2 linked regions of the Macaca fascicularis genome follow. The protein of the gene in region 2 interacts with the protein of the main gene of each other region in a pairwise test. Links are inferred from orthologs where the notes say so. Each region holds a gene or a part of one and is shown on either strand. Other genes may lie near its edges.

What was found.
Region 1: the proteins of SP4 (region 2) and POU2F1 interact in binary tests that used the Homo sapiens proteins (3 or more experiments, as listed by UniProt). The two-hybrid records come from large-scale screens. The link is inferred for Macaca fascicularis from reciprocal best matches to the Homo sapiens genes SP4 and POU2F1.

The regions. Positions count from the first base shown.
Region 1 is NC_088375.1:25,085,349-25,092,725, reverse strand, and holds part of POU2F1 (POU domain, class 2, transcription factor 1), read right to left. Parts: intron 3,548-7,377; coding exon 3,202-3,547; intron 2,489-3,201; coding exon 2,400-2,488; intron 1-2,399. UniProt on the Homo sapiens protein: Transcription factor that binds to the octamer motif (5'-ATTTGCAT-3') and activates the promoters of the genes for some small nuclear RNAs (snRNA) and of genes such as those for histone H2B and immunoglobulins.
Region 2 is NC_088377.1:108,762,211-108,769,587, forward strand, and holds part of SP4 (transcription factor Sp4), read right to left. Parts: intron 3,835-7,377; coding exon 3,606-3,834; intron 1-3,605. UniProt on the Homo sapiens protein: Binds to GT and GC boxes promoters elements. Probable transcriptional activator.

The DNA of each region.
Region 1 (7,377 bases), on a different chromosome or scaffold from region 2:
AGACAAAAACCCCCAAAACAGGCAGGAATGAGAACATTAACATCATCCTGGAGAAGCCAAATAACACACCAAAAGTCTATCATTTTCCTACAACTCACTAGGAAAAAGCGTAGCCCTTTTTCCTCAAACGCAGTGCTACACTGATACCAATTGTAGTTTATTTATAATTTTGAAGAGCCTGAAAGACTGAAATGTCTAATTTAATGGGCACGAGCAGGGGCAGAAGACAGTTAATAACTGTCTAATGAATTAGTCACGTTTCTGTGTTGAAATCACCAGTTTATTTCATTTACCTAGACATATTTGATAAATCCAATAATTTTGTCTTTAATGAAGACTGCTGATTTTAAACTACCTCTGTTCAAAAGACAAACTAGCTAAAGTGATTAAAACATTAACAATAGGAGGTGAGTGGTGGGCCTGCCTCCTGTTAGATCAGTGGCGGCATTAGATTCTCACAGAGCAAAATCGGAAGTGGAAACGGTGCCATCCAGAAACCACCCCACCGCACTGTGGCTGTGGAAAAATTGTCTTCCACAAAACCCGTCCCTGGTGCCAAAACGGTTGGGGACCACTGCTTTATATTACACAAGATGAAAACCATCTTGCAAAAAGGCTTTAGTTCTAAAATAAATTATGTATCACCAAATAAAGGAAAAGGTATAATTAATTTCTCACTTCCTGAGGCTAAACATTTGATTTCTATGACTTGTGCAAAGGAGAATGATGAATCTATTATAGCAGGAAATCAGACATAATGATGTAGGTGGCCACATGTGGGTGATCTAAGGCTAGGATGTGCTTTAATGGGTGAGAAATTTTCTATGATGCTGTTTCCTCCCCCAAAGAAGACATCATCAACATTTTATTTAAAATAATTGAGACTCTAATTTAATATCTCAACCTGTTGTCTGGCAACATTCCTAAATCTCCCTACCCATATAACCTCACTCCTACATGTAGATTTGAGGGATTTTCTAACGGCATTACACATTTGGTTGATTTCTTACATAAAATATAGCTGAAGGGAATGCCTCTGACTTTGGCCTTGTTCATACAAATAGTACAAAACAGTGAGAATTAGTGCAGCTGGAAGTTTTTCTGAGATTCCAAACTTAGGGTCATAGACTAGTTCCAGATCTTTTCAGAGTGTCAATCATGCCCTGGGGAAGACATTTTGCCTTTGTAGGATCCCCACAGCACAGAAACATTCAATAAAGCAGAGGAAAAAGTGATTTATCACAAATTCTACTGCAAAAAAAAAAAACATATTACTATATAACCAAAGCTTTAGAGCTAACCAATTCAGGTATGATTTAGTCAATCAGAAAGTCAATACAATGTAAGGTAATCTAGGCCGTAGTGTGGTTTTGTCTGTGATTCACACTGTCTAGTACTCTGTCAGAGACATCACCTGTGAAATCTTCATCTTAACTGAGGTTGGCTAATAGCTATTTTTGGCCCTGAGAACTCTCATTTATGCACAAACCACGTTTTTTTTTTTTTTTTTTTTTTCAAGAAACAGGGTCTCACTGTGTTGCCCAAGCTGGGGTGCAATGGTTATTCACAGGCATGATCATGGCACACTGCAGTCTTGAACTCATGGCCTCAAGTGACCCCCTGCCTCAGCCTCTCATCAAAACTATTTTAAGAAAAAAAATTCTAACTCATTAGTGATGTCTCTCAGATTGTCTCCCTGCATCACGTAACAGTAAACATTTTTAGACAGAAAGCTTAGGTACTAAACAAGTGGAACCCTTCACTACATGGAATGAATATTGCCCTGGGTAACATGCTAAAAGGTAAAAGGAACCCAGCTGAACTTGGAAAAGAGACATTATAATCCAAGAGAATATATGTTCTACACTAATGGTGATATAAAAAGAACAGAACCTAATGAGAATGAAAAGCACTCCTGAGGTCCACCTGATGTGTTCCAATGTTCATTCATCATAGGACTTTCCCATGCACAGCTTTCTCAGGAGTGGGGATGGGGACCGGAGAGTCTTACTTGGTCAAGTTTGCCTTGAGATGGGTTTTGGATTAATACTTCGGATAAACTTATCAGGGGAAAAAAAATCTGGCTTCAAGTCTATTCACATAAGATCAATATTGGCATAAAAGTTCTGGTTTCTTACCATATACCAAACTAAGTATATTTCCTGCTTTTACTCACATACTAACACCTGTACTTTTCTTACAAAGCTTTTTAATGAGGACATTTTCTTAGTTCTCAACAACACGTTAGTCAGCATTTGACTATCTTTCCCATCACTTTTACCTCTAGCAAAGCAGACTTCCTCCATCTCTCTGTGTGTGTCTCTCTCAAGCGCGCGCACACACACACACACGTGTACATGTGTGCATGCCACCAAAGAAAGAAAAAGGCTTCTACTGACCTTGAATAGTTGCCAGTGTACTGTTGCTCATTAGAGCTGGGCTGAGAGCACCGCTCAGGGTCCCTGGATTCAGACTGAGTAAGGCACCTCTGCAAGTCCAAAAGAGGAGTCACTTTATTACCATGGAGATGCAGGTCTCATTTTGACAACACACCAAAAGGAACTTACAAAAGGAAAATCCAGCTGGGGAAACAGGTGGAAATATTTACTTTTCTTTACTCTTCTATGGTTTGTGTTTCTCAGTTACTGCTTTCCTGGAGGCTTACTTGTACAAACGAGGTTATGATCAGCACAAAATGTAAAACTTTTACAGTCATTTTGACCCTTCTTTGAATGACTTATTTCTCTTTTTTTCCAAAATGAAAGAAACATTCTAGAGAAAAAGATATATTTACAAGATAATTCTTATGTGTGACAATAACAGTATAAAATTGAGACTCCCATTACATCTCTCATCTATGCTTGAGAATTAGGAAGTAGGCAGTTGAGAGAGTTTAATGGGGAAAATAAGAGTTAAGAATTCTGGGCTTTCTTCTTGGCCCTGTCACTAAGGTAATTAGTGACCTGATATTTTGGGTCTTCATCTGTAAACAAAGGTATGACTACTGCCCTTCCCAGGGTGTTAAGAAACTTAAACCATAATCAAGGTCCTTGTATGATCACAAAACAGCCCACTTCAAAGAGAGTACTGCTTTAAAGACATTTTTTTCCCCATTTAAGTCAGTGATGCAAAGTCTACCCTATGAGTAATTCCAGGGATGACCTCCACCTCAGATGTCAATGAGATGAGAAAGCGCCTTACCCAGCCGCAAACTGTGAGGGTGCCATCAGGCTTGGGTTTAGTCCTGCAGCAGCTGCCATGGCAGCAAGACTGGCATTTGCTGGCAACTGTGCAGCTCCTTGAAGGGCAGCAGCTGCTGCTGTTTGCAAACCTGACGCTGTCACCATCACCTGGCTGGTCCCAAGAGGGGAGGACAAAGGAGTGGAGGTGGTCTGTGTTGTGCTGGTCTCACTGGCACTGGATGCCTCAGAGGTGGAGGCTGAGGCAGAAGGGGAGGGACTCAGAGAGGGGGACGTAACTGCTGAGGAAGCTGGAGGTGCTGTGGAAATCACGGTTGCTGTGTTGTTGGAGGTGGTGTCTGAAGTGCCTGAAAAGAGAAACAGATTAGAAGATGACCTTTTGTAAATGGTTTTGGAAGAATGGTGGCTTTACTCAGCTAAACTCTATAATCAATGGAATAATTAACCTACCACCTTGTAAATTTGTTCTTTAATGACCTAGTTTAGTGCTTCTATGGAAATTAACTACAAAACCAAACATTTTAGAATCACAGCTAGGAACCCTACTTTAAGAGATATGAGCAATGGAAGAAACAGAGAAGTTTTCCATTGCCTATTTCCTATTCAAGAAACAAAAGAATCATACAAGCTCTAATTATGGAATACAACTGCTCTGGGGAAGAAAAAGAAAGCAAAAGAAGAAAAACTTCTGTAAAGCTCTTTTCATTCAGAAATCTCCTTAGTGGTCTCCTCAGAAAAATCAAAACAAGGAGAAGAAAAACAGAAAGTTATATACTTTTCTAAGAATTCAGTATCAACAACAACATAGTATAAAAATGACTACATGCCTTCTCTACATTCAAACAACTATTCTGTAATAAAAATTAGCTCTCAAAAAGTCCACTGTGGTAAAAAAAAACAACAACAACACACAATGATACTATGAATCTCATAAAAGCTAGCATAAAAATTAAGATCTAAGAAATTATTATTTGTAGGCCGGGCATGGTGGCTCACACCTGTAATCCCAGCACTTTAGGAGGCTTAGGTGGGCGGATCACGAGGTCAAGAGATCGAGACCATCCTGGCCAACATGGTGAAACCCCATCTCTACTAAAAATACAAAAATTAGCTGGGTGTGGTGGCGGGCGCCTGTAGTCCCAGCTACTCAGGAGGCTGAGGCAGGAGAATTGCTTGAACCTGGGAGGCAGAGGTTGCAGTGAGCTGAGATCATGTCACTGCACTCCAGCCTGGTGACAGAGCAAGACTCTGTCTCAAGGAAGAAATTATTTGTTAGGCACTTTTTAGAAAAAAGTGCCTATGCTCTTGGTTTAAGGAGAATGAACATTTGGATATAAATGACTAACTGACATTAAATACATCATTACTAAACACTAAAACACATTTGCTAGGATTATTTAATGTTTGAGATCAGCGTTGTCTAACAGAAATACAAGACATATGTAATTTAAACATTTCTAGTAGCCCCACTGAAAATGGTAAGACAAGGCCGGGTGTGGTGGCTCACACCTGTGATCCCACCACTTTGGGAGGCCAAGGTGAGTGGATCATTTGAGGTCAGGAGTTTGAAACCAGCCTGGCGAATGTGGTGAAACACTGTCTCTATTAAAAATATAAAAATTAGCCAGGCATGGAGGTGGGAGCCTATAATTTCAGCTACTTGGGAGGCTGAGGCAGGAGAACTGCTTGAACCCAGGAGGTGGAGGTAGCATTGAGCTGAGATCACGCCGTTGCATTCCAGCCTGGGTGACGAAGCAAGACTCCATTAAAAAAAAAATATATATATATATATATAAAATAACAACATTTTTTGGTGATGAAATCTTTTACCAAGCTTCAGAACATGCTCTTCTTTCATAACAACCTTGTTACAAATTCAGGCAATTTTGTCCTTCCCAAATCTGTTTTAAAACCTTCCTCTGGTCTGTACTAAGAACACCGAGAATTGAACTCTCTTCTCATTTCCACTCTTCAGTTTTTATCACATGTCACAGGGTTGGGAGAGACTCAGACATCATCTATTTCAGCACTGACTACTTTCTCCACCTCCTATAAAGCTGTGCAAAAACGGTTGCCAAATGAATGAGGACATAATGTTCTTATTGGTAAATAAAAAGGAAGGTTTTCTTCCTCTGTCTACCTTTCTGAAAAATATAAATGATTTATTTTTATTGCCACTGCCCCTAAGTATCATTACACCTTTGTAGATACTATGAATTCTATTTTCGTTCATTACTTCTTTGGTTCTAAATCTCTCAGAACAATCTACCACTGAACATTGGATGCTGTGTAGGGTCCTGTGTTAGGCAGATTCATATACCCTTTTTCACTTTAATCTTCTCTTAAGACATGCCCCCTGTTGTATAGTAAGGTGAACATCTTTTCTTATTTCTCTTCCACGCTAAGCAATTTCAATGTACTTTCAATCTTTTTCTGACCAATTTATCACCTTATCTAACCTGATTTTACCTATGGGTACTACTTGCCTTTCAAAGTTCTGAAATTGAAATTGCCTATTTTTATAAGTCCTAATATCTTGAGCTCAAAAGGCTTAAAATAGTTATTTTTTTACTCTCTGGCCACCTTCAAATCATTCACCAACTGTTTTCTTAAATCCCTTAAGTTTACAAAGAAAATTCCAGTCAAATTTTATCAGTGAATTTAATCTAGGCCAGGAGATGATGACTCCAGAACCATTCAAAATTGTTCTAGGTGTCTCCAATATAAAAGTCATATAAGCATTATGGTATAACAACTTAAAATTATCTTTAAATTAATTATCCCAGCCAGTAAGTCGTTTTAATCAATGTATGTATTTACTGACTGTAAATTCTTGGCAACTTGGCAATTTAATTACTTGGGTAACTTTCACTGGTGAACTTAGTGTTGTTGAGCCTCAATGTCCTCAACGGCAAAATAAGATGCCACCACCCACCTCACAGGGGCAGTAGGAAGCTATAGCCAAGGTGTGTATATAGTACCTAGTACTTCCCTGTGCTTCCCATCCTGTCTTGTCTTTTCTCAAACAGCTTTTATTGAGGTACAATTTATAAATTGGATATCCATATGCAGAAAGAGGAATTTCAATCCTTACCTTGTACCATGCATAAAAATTAACTAAAATGGATCAAAGGCCTAAAATATAAGAACTGAAACTATAAAGCTTCTAGTAAATAAAGTAGGACAAAATCTTTGTGACCTTGGGTTAAGCAAAGAGTTCATAGACACAGCACCAAGAGAACGATTCATAGAAGAAAAAAATAAATCAGTAAATTCAACTTCATCAAAAGTAAAATCTTTTGTGCTTCAAAAGCCACAGACTGAGAGAAAACATTTGCAGATCACATATCCAATAAAGAAATTGTGTCTAGAATGTATAAACAACTCTTACAACTCAATAGTAAGAATATAGACAACTCAGATTTTTAAATGGACAAATGTTAGTATACATTTTACCAAGGAAGATATAGGAGTGACTAGTAAGCACATGAAAATTCATCCAGTTTTAAAATTTGATTACTTTTAATCAACTTACAGAGTTATACAACCATCATCCCAACCCAGATTATGACATTTCCACTCCCAGAAAAGATCCCTTGTGCCTGTTTGTAATCATGTCACACTCCTACCTAGTTATCTGCTTTTTGTCTCTATAATAGATTTTTGTGGACATTTCACACAAATGTCCACACAAATGGAATCATACAATATGTAGTCTCTTGCATCTGGCTTCTTTTACTTAGTATTCTGTTTTCAAGGTTCATCCACATTGTAGCACAAATCAATACCTCATTAATTTTTATGGCTGAGTAATATTCCACTATGTAGATACGACACATTTTGTTTATTCATTCACCAGTTGATGAGCACTGGTTTGTTTCCAGTTTTTGGATATTATAAATAAGACTGCTATATGAACACTCACATTAAAGTTTTTGTGTGGAAATGTCTTCATTTCTCTTGGGGAAATTGCTGGGTAGGATGCTAAATTTATGTTTAAAAGAACTGCCAAGGTGTTTTCTGAAGTTGTATCATTCTACACTCCTACAAGCAATGCATCAAAGTTCCAGTTTCTCCACATCCTTCCCAACGTTCATCATCTTGGGTCTTTTTGATTATAGCCATTCTGGTGAGTACAAAGTAGTATCTTATTATGGTTTTAATCTGCATTTCCCTA
Region 2 (7,377 bases):
AACAAAGAGCTCCAAATCTCTTCCCAAAGGAACTGACTTAATTTGCAAGACAATGTGAAGAAGTTCAAGCCTAAGGGTACTCTCAAAAAAAGTAGAGATTGTTCCAAAGGCAGTTAATTGGGAGAAGACTAACAGATTCACTGGAAATAAAGGCTTAACTACAGGCTGGCTAGTTTGCTAGACAGAAGTGAGAAGAGGCTGTGAAGAACCTTCTTAGGGTCAGAATAAATGTCAAACATTGAGATTCTTGGGAAAAGTAAGCAAAACTAACAAACTAACAAGCTAGACTGACCAAGAAAATAAGACTCAAATTATTAGAATCAGAAATCAAAGAGGAGATATCACCACCAACCTTACAGAAACAAAAAGGATTACAAAAGAATACCATGAACAATTTTATGCCAATTACTTGGGTAACTCAGATGAGATGGACAAATTCCTAGAAAAATATGGACCAAAATACTAAAACTGACTCAGGAACAGATAATCAATCAGAATAAACCCACAACAAGCAACTAGACTGAATTAGTAATTAAAACTACCCATATGAAAAGCCCAAGAACAGACAGCTTCACTTGTAAATTCCACAAAACATTTAAAGAATTAATACCAGTTTGGAGGGAATACTTTCCAATTCATTCTATGAGGCCGGTATTATTATCAAAATCAGATAAAAACATTACAAAAAAAGAAAACCACAGACGTATCTCTTATGAATATGGATGCAAAAAGCCTCAAAAAAAATACAAGCACACTGTCAACATTGTACCAGAGGTTCCAGACAGAGAAATTAAGTAAGAAAAAGAAACAGAACTCCTGCAGCATAGAAAGGAAAAAGTAAAAGTTATCTCTGTTCACAGATTCCATGACCTCAAACATAGAAATTCTAGACTCCACTAAAAAAAAAAAAAACAAAAAAAAAAACCTGTTATAACTAATCAAAAAGTTCAGCAAAAGTTGCAGGATACAAGATTAATACACTTAAAAAATATATTTCTACACAGTTGTAATGAACAACCAAGGAAACAGTTCAACTTATAACAGTATCAGAAATAAAATTGGAATTTAACAAAAGTACAAAATGTATACTCTGAAAACTATAAACCATTGATGAAAGAAGTTAAAGATTAAATAACCAGAAATACTTCCCATGTGCATGGACCAAAAGATAAAATATTGTTAAGCAGGCAACAGTCCCCAAAGTGATCTACAGATTCAATGCAATTCCCATCAGAATACCATCTGGCTTCTTTGTAGAAATTGACAAACTGATTCTAAAATTCACATGGAATTGCAAGTGTCCCTAAAGAGTCAATACAATTTCGAAAAATAACAAAGTTGCAGGACTCACATTTCTCGATTTCAAAAGTTATTACAAATCCAAAGTACTCAAGACACTGTGGTACTGATATAAAGACAGATATACAGATCAATGGAATAGAATTGAAAGTCCTGAAATAAATCCATGTTCTATGGTCAACTAATTTTTGACATGGGTGCCAAGAACACTCAATGGAGAAAGGAGAGTCTTTTCAACAAATGGTGTTTGATGAACCCTTACCTAACACCATATAAAAATTAACCCCAAATTCATCAAAGACCTAAATGTAAGAGTAAAAACTATAAAATTATCTTTAAAAAAAACCCAAAAAAACCTAGGAATCTTAATGACTTTGGATTTGGCAATGAATTCTGACACAATACCACAAGCAGAAGCAATAAAGGAAAATAGAAAACTCTAGACTTCAAAATCAAAACTTTGGTGCAAAGGCACTATCAAGAAAGTATAAAGACGATTCACACAATGGGAGACAATATTTTTCTCTTTTTTTTTTTTTTTAGACGGAGTTTTGCTCTTTCACCCAGGCTGGAGTGCAGTGGCGCGATCTCGGCTCACCGCAACCTCTGCCTCCTGGGTTCAAGCAATTCTCCTCCCTCAGCCTCCCGAGTTGCTGGGATTACAGGCACGCGCCACCATGCTTGGCTAATTTTGTATTTTTAGTAGAGATGGGGTTTCTCCATGCCGGTCAGGCTGGTCTCCAACTCCTGACCTCAGGTGATCCACCTGCCTTGGCATCCCAAAGTGCTGGGATTACAGGCGTGAGCCACCATGCCCAGCCGGGAGACAATATTCTCAAATCATATATCTGATAAGGAACTTGTATCTAGAATATATAAAGAGACAATTCCATAATGAAAAATAATATAATTTAAAATGGGCAAAAGATCCAAATAAATATTTCTCCAAAGATACAAACATGGCCAATAAGAACAAGAAAATATGCTTAATATCACTAGTAATCGGGAAAAACAAAACTGCCGTGAGGTATCACTTCAAACCCAGTAGGATAGCTTTAATCATGAAGTCAGATAATGACAAGTACTGGCAATGATCTAGAGACTGGAACCCTCATACCCTACTGATGGAAATGTTAAATGGTACAGCCATTTTTGGAAAATAATCTGTAAGTTCCTCAAATGGTTAAACATAGAAATACAATATGACCCAGAAATTCCATTTCTAGGTAATTTCATAAAAATACAAGAGAAATGAAAACATATGTCCACATAAACACTTGTACACAAATGTTTACTGCAGTATTATTCATAATGGTCAGTGGGTGGATAAAACCAAATGTCCTTCAAGTGACAGGATAAACAAAATATTGTATATCCATACAGAGAAATATTATTTGTCCCTAAAAAGGAATGAAGTACTGATCATGCTGTAATACGGCTGAACCTTGAAAACATTATGCTAAAAGAAACCAGTCACAAAAGTCACGATTCCATTTATATGAATTGTCCAGAACAGACAAATCTATAAAGACAGAAATTAGTTGTTTAGGATGGAAGGGTTGGGAGGATAAGGGGGTGATGTTTAAAAGATACAGAATTTATTCTGGGGATGATGAAAACATTCTAAAATTGATTGTAGTCATGTCTACACAGCTCTGAATATATTAAAAACCACTGAATTGTACACTTTAAATGGGTGAACTATAGGGTGTAAGAGCGAGTTTTATATCAATAAAGTTATGTAAAAATTTTATGAAAAAAAAATGGGCTGGGCACAGTGGCTCACACCTGTAATCCCAGCACTTGGGGGGCTGAGCTGGGCGGATCACCTGAGGTCAGGAGTTTGAGACCATCCTGGCCGACATGGTGAAACCCTGTCTCTACTAAAAATACAAAAATTAGCCGCGTGTGGTGGCGGGCGCCTATAATTAATCCCAGCTACTCGGAAGGCTGAGGCAGGAGAATCGCTTGAACCCGGGAAGTAGAGGTTGCAGTGAGCCGAGATCACACCGTTGCACTCCAGCCTGGGCAGCAGAGTGAAACTCCATCTCGTTGGGGGGGCCCGGGGGAGGGGGTAGAAAAAAGAAAGAAAAAATGTATTTTTAAAGTGTAAGGAACAAGGCAGAGGACCACTCAAATTTCATTCCTAAAATAGCCTAACTTAATTCCCTTTCTAATATTATATATCAACTTCTAGGCTATGAAGGTAATGAGGTTCTTGTGACCATCATTCCCAGCCAATTACTCGGTTTTAACTCCTGTTTTATGCCTTCCAAATGGACACAGTTGAAAAACAGAGCATTTACCTTCCTTCTCCTTCCCTACAATTAGGACAGGAACAGGCAACTCTTCGAAGCCTCTTGCCAGGTTGTACCTCTTGATCAGAAGTTTGCTGGCCTTGCTGCAAATGCACTTGTGTGAGTTGGTCAGGACTAACAGCACCTATCGTGGCATTAGCAATTCCTCCAACTGCTACAGTTACAGGAGCTATAGTAGCTTGCTGGACTTTTACTCCATCTTGTCCTTGCTGCTGACCTAAAAAGGAAGAAAAAAAAAAAGAAACATTGTAATGTTTTCTACATCTAAAGAAAGGATTAAAAAAAAATTCCATGTGCATAAATTTTTTCTAACAATCTGTAAAGTACAAAAACTAAGGGGTTAATGGCTTATACTATGTCAATCCTTCTAAAATATAGTATTCTCACTTTAGTGGCTCAGGTTGCCTATGTATCTAGATGACGGAACTATATACATAAATCATTTAACCCACTTTTGGACTTAATTTCTCTCTCCATCTATAAAATGAAGATAATAATACTTGCTACTTACCTACTCACTAAAATACTATGAGGATACATGAGTCTAAAAGCATTTTGAGATCCTAAGATAAAAGACGTTATATAAACACAAAGCTTTATTACCATTTCCACAGTAAGCAACATATCTCATCACAACAAGAAAATACAGGAGTGAAAAGTCACTAAACAAAGGATTAAGTTTTATGGACATCTTGCATTCCTAAATAGTTTAAATAAACATCTCTTTATTGATTTGACTTTTTAAATTGTATACATAAAGTGGTTTTTAAAATGCAAAACCACCCAAGATTACTACATACTGTCACTGTAATCATAAAAAGACATTTAAAATATTATTACTTTATTCACTCATGTTATATAGCTTACACTTCATTGCTCAGATTAGTATATATACCAGCGCGGCTTCTTCACTTTGGTAAAAATATAATAAATAATGCACAATAAAACAACAAAAAAATGTATTTGCATGGCTTAACATTATCCTGAAATACAATGCTCTTTTTTTTTTTTTTTTTTTGAGAAGGAGTCTTGCTCTGTCACCCAGGCTGGAGTGCAGTAGCACGATCTCAGCTCACTGCAACCTCCACCTCCTGGATTCAAGCAATTCTCCTGCTTCAGCCTCCCTAGTAGCTGGGATGACAGGTGCGTGCCAACATGCCCAGATAGTTTTTTTTTGTATTTTTAGTAGAGACAGGGTTTCGCAATGTTTGCCAGGCTAGTCTCAAACTCCTCACCTCAGGTGATTCACCTGCTTCGGCCTCCCAAAGTGCTGGTATTACAGGTGTGAGCCACCGCACCCAGCCTATGATGCCTTATAATTATCTTTTCTTTCACACAGTTCTACATTCTCCCCATCAGATGTGGGAATAACAAGTATGTGAATGGACTGAAAAGAAAATACCAATTTATGAAAGAATGTTTCCACCTCAGAATATTGATATAAGTATTAAGTAAGTTAATTTATAAATCCTCTACCACAGTGCTGGCACAGAATTGCTCATTACATAGTAGCTACTGTTACTAATTCATCTCTGCTGAGTTCAGGGGCAATACAAGAATAAAATAAGTCACTTTGGGAGGTCGAGACGGAGGATCACAAGGTCAGGAGATCGAGACCATCCTGGTTAACATGGTGAAACCCCGTCTCTACTAAAAATACAAAAAAATTAGTTGGGCATGGTGGCGGGCACCTGTAGTCCCAGCTACTCGCTATTCACAAGGCTGAGGCAGGAGAATGGCGTGAACCCGGGAGGCAGAGCTTACAGTGAGCCGAGATCATGCAGCCTGGGTGACAGAGCGAGACTCTATCCCCAAAAAAAAGAAAAAAAAAAAAAAAAGAATAAAATATGCTAGCAGAAATAAACATGCCAGTCCTGCATATAAAATGGTTTCTTTCAGGCCGGGCATGGTGGCTCATGCCTGTAATCCCAGCATTTTCGGAGGCTGAGGTGGGTAAATCACAAGGTCAAGAGATGGAGACCATCCTAGCTAACACAGTGAAACCCCATCTCTACTAAAAAGTCCAGTGATTGCACCACTGCACTTCAACAAAAAATTAGCCAGGTGTGGTTGCACACGCCTGTAGTCCCAGCTACTTGGGAGGCTGAGACAGGGGAATCGCTTGAACCCGGGAGGCAGAGGTTTCAGTGAGTCGAAATTGTGCCACTGCACTCCAGCCTGGGAGACAAGAGCGAGACTCTGTCTCAAAAAAAAAAAAAAAAAAAAAAAAAAAAGGCAGGGGTGGGGGTGGTTATTTCAAAGCTGCATATGTAGTATCTTAAAAGTACGGGGCAACCAACAAGAAGCAATAAAAATTACCAAGTAAGAAAATAGTACACATTTTCTAAACAAAATTAAACCTCTGACTCTCCCAGCCAAAGTCAATCTCACCGTCCTCTGCATATCCACAGCACCTTTAATTCCTTTTGGTAGCACCCATAACTAAGATACACATTAAAAAATACATTTTGTCACTGTTTCAGTAAGGATACAAACCCTCTACTAAAGTTTACATTTTTGTACACCTTTGAATTAGCATGGTGTGGTAAGTAAAGCAATGCAAGTGAAGTCAGAGTTGTAAATTTATGACTGTGCACTCAGGGATCCTCAGTTTCCTCAACTCTAAAACAGTAACACTGACTTCCGTAAAATTTCTGCTCCCTGTCTACTTTAAAGAGCTGTTTCTGAGGATCAAGTTGATTTTCCAGGGGTAAAGGCTATATAAATTATAAAGCAATACATAAACAAAAGGTATAATTATTTTGTTTCAGTGTTTTTGAACACGTATTTAGGAAAACCAGATGCCTTAAGGATGACCGTGGCTACACAATCTATTCAAACTACTTGTGTACCAAGAAGCACAGTGATACACACACTTTCTGTTTACTACAAAAAAAAAAAAATGCATTTCTAGAAATGAGAGTACTGTCTGAACAAGCACTCTACAAAATCTACAGCATGGTCCCTATGGAGCTGCAGGTATTTTAAGTTGGCAAATACCCTTTACATCCCCTGAAGACACAGGTATTTTCGGCCACAATTTTTTGACTACTTTTCTCATAACATTTATATAACAGTCATTACTTTAAAGGTCGCAATAATATTTAAGATGACCTTTATTTTAGTAAAGAACTGCTAGATGAGTTTCAAGTCAAAGCTAAGTTGGGGGGTGAGGGGTGGGGAAGAACTGCTAGAGATTCCTGATTCCTCTGGTCCCTTGACCACATCCTTGACATACTCCTCATGCCTCCATATTGTGAGCCTTTCTTTGTTCAATGCCTAAACAACTTGGAAAGTTATTTCAATGAATAATAGAGGCAAATTATATTTGAGTTTGTATATTGAAGCCTGTTAATTGACTTCATCTAGATGTTTCACAGACAGCTAAGTTCAACAACTACTTTATTTCCACTGCCATCAGTAAGCCACCAAACTCCAGAGCAAGACCTCTGAGGCCCCACTTAAGTTTAATTCTATTGCCTTCTCAGACCTCATCTCTATTAGTCTCTCCCTTGCTCACTCTGCACTTGATATACTGGCCTCTCTTCCGGCCCTCAAACAAATCAAGCTCATTTCCTTCTTAGGGACTTTGCACATACTCTCCAGTCTAAGTGGGGATGCCTTTGCACGCAGATCTTTACATAGTTGATTCCTTTGTAATATTCTGGTCTGAGTTCAAATCTCTCCTCTTTAGAAATGCCATTCCTGACCTTCCCATCTAAAAGTGGTTCCCCTCAGTATATCACCGTATCACCACCTA